Linked DNA regions of Oryctolagus cuniculus. The main gene of each other region encodes a partner of the protein of the gene in region 2 in a complex. Links are inferred from orthologs where the notes say so. Each region holds a gene or a part of one and is shown on either strand. Other genes may lie near its edges. The genes, in order: cyclin-dependent kinase inhibitor 2A and CDK6.

Region 1 (3,090 bases), on a different chromosome or scaffold from region 2:
ATAGTCCTTGCTATGGTAGCAGAGGAGGCTATGATGGTAGTGGCCCAGGATATGGAAAGCAAGGTGGTGGATAGGGTGAAGGAGGAGGATATGATGGTTACAATGAAGGAGGAAATTTTGGAGGTTCTAACTATGGTGGTGGTGATTGCTACAATGATGTTCGAATTTAGAATGAACAACAGCAATCAAATTATGGACCCATGAAAGGGGGTGGTTCTTATGGTGGAAAGGTTATGGATTTGGTGGTTGAAGAGATGGATAAGATAGCAGAAGTTTCTAAAAATGCAGGGGGGAAAAAAAGCAGAAAATGGCTACAATTCTTAGCAGGGAAAGAACAAGCAAGGAGTTGTCAAAAAGTTCCAGGATTCTTTGAGACATTCATCCCAAGTGTGAAAATCTGCCACAGAAAAAATGATGATTCATAGTCCAAAAATGTTACTGCACCTTAAACAGGAAACCCTTCTTGTTCAGGATTGTCATAGATACAGTTTGCAAAAAAGTGCAGTTATTGATTAATGCAATGTAGTGTCAACTAGATGTACATTCCTGAAGTCTTTTATTTGTTGTAGTTTTGTCTTTTCACTACATCAGCTATATTGCCCTGTAAACTGTAGCAGTGGTACCAGGAGTGAAAAATTAAGGACGTTTTAACTTTAACAAAAGAAGTGTTTTCCTTTCCTACTGCTGTAACTAATCATCACAACCGGTGACTAAAGCAAAACCAAAATTATTATTTTATAGTCGTGGAGATGAAGATTCCAAGTTGGGTCCACAGGCATTGTGTGGGAAGCTCTAGGGAGGGATCTGTTTCTTTGCCTTTTCTACCTTCTAGTGGCTCTTGGCTTGAAGCCCCTGTGTCTTCTCTCTGACCTCTGCATCCATGCTTATTTCTTTTATGAGAATATTGTGATTTCATTGGGTCCACCTTGATAATTCAGGATACCCCTCAAGGTCCTTAATTTAAGTAGGGCAACTATAGATAATCATAATGTACTGTATGTTTCTCTAAAAAATAAAAGAGCATGAAATAAAGGATGTTTAATGTTTTCACCATAGAGAAATATTAAATGTATTTGGAGATACGTTTACATGGATCAGATATTACGCAGTGAATTCATGTATAGAAACATCATGCCACATAATACACAGTATTTTAATGTGTCAGTTAACATTAAGAACATCATCATATGGTGCCAAATAAATATGCACGATTAGGTGTCAGTTAAGTTTTAAAGAATTCCTTAATTTAATCATATCTGTGAAGTCTCTTTTGCCACATAAGGTAACATATTCACAGCTTCTAAGAATTGGGACCTTGACATTGTGAGGACCTTATGCCACTTACCACAGGAAATGAGTTTTAACACTCAAGGAAGATAAATAGGTATATTTATCTTATATATACTATAAATATATATAAATATATATTTTGTTACATAAATATAACAAAAGATTTTTTTCAGGAAGCATGGTGCTTTGTTGGCTTTTAAAAATTAACATGTCTTGGTTTGGATATATAGTAATGAACTAAGCAAAGTCTCCATGCCTTCACATGGTTTCATTTCCAAATGAGAGGGAAAATACAGGCAGTCAGACCACCGTAGTAAAAGGCAGTTTGTCCCTCACTGTTTTTCGCTTTGACTGTCTGATAGTGTTCTGCTTGTGGCCAGAGCTCCGCAAAAAGTTGGAGAATACGATGCAATCCAGTGTGTACTGAAAATGGGATGGGTGGGAGAACTGGAGAAGGGTGTTGGTGACTGGAAGCCAATGAACGACAATTATACACCGTGCCTGGCATTGGTGTCTGCCTAGGAAGGGATACTTCATAAAGTCCTGATCCATACACTAGCCCTGACCGCTCTTCCCTCTCGCGCAGGTCATGATGATGGGCAGCGCCCGCGTGGCCGAGCTGCTGCTGCTCCACGGCGCCGAGCCCAACTGCGCCGACCCCGCCACCCTCAGCCGACCGGTGCACGACGCCGCCCGGGAGGGCTTCTTGGACACGCTGGTGGCGCTGCACCGGGCCGGGGCGCGGCTGGACGTGCGCGACGCCGGGGGCCGCCTGCCCGTGGACCTGGCTGAGGAGCGGGGCCACCACGACGTCGCTCGGTACCTGCGCGCCGCCGAAGGCGGTAACCACGCCCGCGCAAGGGCCGTGGAAGGTACCGCAGGTGAGGACGGATGATGCCAGAATTCCAACACAGAGCTCCGGAAGCTCAGTGCGCTTGTTTTCAAGAAGGCAAAGTTGAGCACGGGAAAGCAGGGTCTGGGCTCTCAATGCGGCTCACAGAGCCTAAGGCCCGGGAAAACCCGAGTCTTGCCAACTCGCAGCCTAGTCAGAGCCGCAGTCTGCGGAATCTGGGTTCGTGAAAGCCCGTCCCACACCCCGTCCTGCCTCTGCCACCGCTCAAATCCCCCCCCAACCCCCACCCACGCAGCTCAAGGCTAAACAAGACCTTGGAGGCTAGAGGTCCAGCTAGCGCCCCGGCTTCCTCCTGCAGGCTAGCTAGTGAGCCGCATCCCCTCTCCCGGGTCTCAGGTTCGGCGTTCGCATAAATACATCACGGGACCAACCGCTGGATTTCCAAAACCGGTTCTGCAGGGTGTCTGCGTGAAATCCGTCATTCTCAGCTCAGTTGCAAGATTTTACTAAATGCGACCCTCCGCTTTATGCGGTGGAGAGGTGCAGCTTTCCACAACTCCGCAAGGCAATTTTAGGGCCTGTGGGATGGCGACGTCCAAATCTGCACATTCGGATTTGCTGCACACTATGGGAGGGAGACGGAGCTCTCCTCTTGCCCCTGTTTTTTGCTTAAGCTTTCAGTTTTTTGAGAGACCAATGAATGAGAGAAATGGGCCTGGGGGAGGATTTTTTTTAAAATCAAAATAGATATGAGAAGCGATGTACGACAGCAACACTAATATTTAAAGGTAAAATATGACTTTGAAGAGACTAGAATTTATGCTAACTCAGAACTAGGGCTGTAGGCTCCCTGGGCGTTAGCGGAGCCAAGGCGGAGGCTTGCGCGCTCCGCTGAGAGATGCTGTGCATACTGAATGCAGAACCCTATTGGCCTTGGGCGTGAGAGG
Region 2 (3,819 bases):
TCTTTTTATTCCTGTTACAGACTTTGCTGTTAAGCATATCTGTGTGTTGGTCACACTGTTGTTTCTGTTCGTTGATTCCAGTGACAGTGTGCACGAGTCTTTGTCTGGACAATGCGGCCCTCAGGATGCCCGGCAGAGGCACAGTCGCAGTGTCCTGCCCCAGCCCCCAGTGACAGGTGCACTTAGGACAGAGGCATCTGCTGTTCCCGAGTGAAGTCTGACCTGGGCTCTCTGGGGGTAAAGGAACGGGAAACAGAGCTGTGGAAACCCCGTGACAGTTGCACCAGGACCTCCTGAAACCTGGAACTACGTTCAGGACAGCACTCTCTCCAGGCCCTCAGTCCTCGTGAGTGCCGTCCAAGGAGAAGAATGTGCCGTACGCCAGCACCCTTGCTTTCCCACGGTTCCGAGAAGTCTCCTCCAGCGTTGGACTAGCTGTGCCTCTTGTCCACCACACTGAATTTTTCTTTTATTCAGAGTTATCCGGAGTCTGAGATACAGATTCTTGCATCACCTGATTTTCCTTGCTCAAACCCACTTACCCAGCCATGTATCCATTTTAAATCATGTCTATGTATTGTATACATTGTGCAGGGCCACCAGCTTACTAATGTGTCCGAAGAACCTGAAGTTACACATAAGCAGAATTGAAGCAGTTCATGTTTTCAGTGTAGTGGTGATATACTTCCTCTGCATTTTGGATTAACAGGATGATTTTCTGATTGTGATCATAATGGATAATGAATGGATATTGACTGTGTTGGAAACTGTGCTATGCAGCTTATGTAAATTATCGCTGATCCTCATAACAGCCATCAGTTGTTGCCATTGTCATAAAGATACTAAGAATCATAGGTGCTAAGGCATGTGTCCTTACCTGCCAGTAAGAATGCAACCCACATCTGCCTATTTCCAAAATCTGTGTTGTCTTTCACTTGCTGTTCTCTGCAGCTTTCTGATCCCAGAAAAGTTTTCAGGGGGAACATGAATAGTAGTCTTTTTAATTTGTTTTTCAGAATGCCATATACTTTCCCTTATAAAATAATCTGTGCCTAAGACTAATGTATCTTTTAGCCTCATTTTTGTTGTTGGATTCTAATATATGTAGTTACTCTGTGGAGAAGCACTCTTTGGTCAGAAATGCAACCCAGTCGATGTGTTGATAAGCCGTGTTGAATGAGCATCATAGAAGCATGTCAGGGCTGGAGTGTCCCATCAGGATGCAACACTCCTGGGCATAAAGCCACACACACACACACACACACACACACACACACCCCGGCAGGTCTCCTCTGAACATAGTAAGTCCCGTGTTGAGGCCTACACACAAGTAATGCACTCTTCCATTTCTCCATCATCTTTTACATCTGGTGTCAGCTGCGAAAATAATCTCTCGTCACTGCCCAGTGGAGTTAACAGTCCTGGGAGCTTCCCCGGTAGCATGTGACCTGCCCTGTTGCAGTAGGACAGAGGCGAAGGAGAGAGCCTGGCTCACCACGTGAAGGTTTCCTGGGCTCCTGCGCCCTCCTGCCTGGCCCTCAGAGCCGGCTGTCCTCTAGCATTCCCTGAGGGAAGAGCTTTGGCAGTGCCCAGTGCTCACGTGCACCTGTGGTTCTTTCCTAGCGTCATTGGACTCCCAGGAGAAGAGGACTGGCCCAGAGATGTTGCCCTTCCCAGGCAAGCGTTTCATTCCAAATCTGCCCAGCCGATTGAGAAGTTCGTAACAGATATCGATGAACTAGGCAAAGACCTGCTTCTGGTAAGTTCGCCCTGTGCTGATAAGACGCCTGCCCTGTCCAGGCTGTGTGGCAGCAGGAGGACCCGTGCAGCGACTGCTGCAGCCATCACCTGCATCGCCACAAGAGCCCAGGGCTGCAGTCCCCCTATAAGTTCCCTTCCCGCACCTGGAGCTACTAGTGGCTGTCGATCCCGGGACATCTTTCCAATCCACACTCTTGAAAGCCACCGCCTTTGAACTTGTGTTTGGGAGCGGCCTTTCTAAGGCTGTGGGCTCACTTGGATATGTGCTTCTTTACCAAAGTCCCGCGTCCTTTGATGTCTCCTGGTTTACAGTTTCGTGCTACCTTTAGCAATTTGGGAGTCATTTGGGGTGCCTTTCCTTAAATAGTCACATGCTTAGGAAAATGATTTTCCAAAGGAACTACCGAGTATGCTTATCAGTGATTGAAGTGTTTATTAAGTGATTTCCTATAGCTGGAGGTCAGAACAGTAGGTGGAGGAGCTCACCTGCCGGGCTGCTCTTGGTGCCTGGAGCCCGGTAAGCAGTCATCAGCAGGTTTTGATGCCTGCGTCAGCCTGTGGGTCAAGTGCCGTCTTCTCCGCGTGTCCCATTCTGGGGCCCAGGACGGAGATCAGACTCGGAAGGTAGAGGCAGCCAGCAGGGCAAGCAGAAGCACGGGATGCCCCTGAGAGCCAAGGCCTGGGAAGAAGCACCCTGCCTCTGTCCACGTCCCATTGGCCAGGGCCAACCTGAATGGAGGAAAGAATGCGTATGTGTACATACACATGCATGGAGGGGGAGGGGAGAGAAGAAGGAGAATATGTGGTTACAAAAAAAGTTACGCACTCAATCTATCCTAATAGTCAACTCTTGACTCACATATGATTCCAAAAGCTCATTTTTTAAAGAATTATTTCATTTATTTGAAAGAGTTACACAGAGAGAGGAGAGACAGAGAGAGGTATTCCATTCTGCAGGCTCACTCCCCAAATGACCGCAATGGCCAGAGCTGTGCCAATCCGAAGCCAGGAGCCAGGAGCTTCTTCCAGGTCTCCCACGTGGGTGCAGGGGCCCAAGGACTTGGGCCATCTTTCACTGCTTTCCCAGGCCACAGCAGAGAGCTGGATCAAAAGAGGAGCAGATGGGACTCAAACCGGCACTCATATGGGATGCCGGCGCTTCAGGCCAGCGCGTTAATCCGCTGAGCCACAGCATCAGCTCCCCCCCCTCCCCAAAAGCTCATTTTATAAGTCAGTTAAGAAACTGGGAAGTAAATTAAATTGAACAATATTACTACACAATTTAAAGAGCCTCCTTCTTCCTCAAGCAGAGCAGCAATAGGAGGTCACTGCCTTTGCTAACAGTATCTCCATAGGACAAAGTGCAGCAGGGCTTCCCAGCTGGCTGGAGTCCTCCCTCTCTCCACCCTCTTCCCTGCACCCAGCCCTCAGAGGGGCTGTGGGGAAAGGGCTTGCAGGCAACCCTCCAGGAACACCTCCCTGTGTCCGGATCACATCCCACGATTCTTCTCTCTTTGCTGTGTCCTGCCTTTTCTAACAGCACTGCCTGATTTTCTATTTCTTAGATTCTGGAAAGACAGAACTCAGGCTCCAGCATGTTGCCCCAGGGTAGGTGTTGTGGTGCAGCCAGTTAAGCCTTATCATGGGCTGCCTGCGTCCCCTGTTGCAGTGCCTGGAATCACGTCCGCCTCCACTTCCCATCCAGCTCCCAGGAGTGCACCTTGGAGGCAGCAGATCATGGCTGTCTCTGGAACCCATAGAGGAAACCTGGATGGAGTTCCTGGCTCCTGGTTCAGGCCTGGCCTAGCTCTGACTGTTGTAGGCATTTAGGAAGTGAACTAGCAGATGGATGTTGTCTCTTACCCCCTTTTCTCTCTCACTCTTATTCTCTCTTGCTTTCTCGCTCTCTTGCTCACTCGCTCTCGCTCTCTCTCAAATAAATAAAAATTACTAACTAGGTGCCAGCATTGTGGTACAGTGGTACACCACTTGAAACTCTGGCATCTTGTATCAAGGGACCGATTCAAGTCCTATCAACTCCTAGCTGATGATGGCCCA

Evidence for each region.
Region 1: the proteins of CDK6 (region 2) and cyclin-dependent kinase inhibitor 2A are in contact, whole or in part, in a crystal structure (PDB 1BI7), measured with the Homo sapiens proteins. The link is inferred for Oryctolagus cuniculus from reciprocal best matches to the Homo sapiens genes CDK6 and CDKN2A. Residues at the interface, in NP_001138778.1 of Homo sapiens: Glu14, Cys15, Val16, Ala17, Glu18, Ile19, Phe28, Lys29, Arg31, Leu33, Asn35, Gly36, Gly37, Arg38, Phe39, Arg44, His100, Asp102, Gln103, Asp104, Thr106, Thr107, Asp110, Lys111, Gln149, Thr154, Ser155, Leu166, Ala167, Arg168; in NP_000068.1 of Homo sapiens: Thr18, Ala21, Arg22, Gly23, Arg24, Glu27, Asn42, Tyr44, Arg46, Gln50, Val51, Met52, Met53, Met54, Gly55, Ser56, Arg58, Asp74, Ala76, Thr77, Thr79, Asp84, Arg87, Glu88, Gly89, Phe90, Asp92, Asp108, Trp110, His123.

What each region holds. Positions count from the first base shown.
Region 1 is NC_091432.1:185,034,840-185,037,929, reverse strand, and holds part of cyclin-dependent kinase inhibitor 2A, read left to right. Parts: intron 1-1,876; coding exon 1,877-2,171; intron 2,172-3,090. UniProt on the Homo sapiens protein: Acts as a negative regulator of the proliferation of normal cells by interacting strongly with CDK4 and CDK6. This inhibits their ability to interact with cyclins D and to phosphorylate the retinoblastoma protein.
Region 2 is NC_091447.1:43,169,129-43,172,947, forward strand, and holds part of CDK6 (cyclin-dependent kinase 6), read left to right. Parts: intron 1-1,623; coding exon 1,624-1,759; intron 1,760-3,819. UniProt on the Homo sapiens protein: Serine/threonine-protein kinase involved in the control of the cell cycle and differentiation; promotes G1/S transition. Phosphorylates pRB/RB1 and NPM1.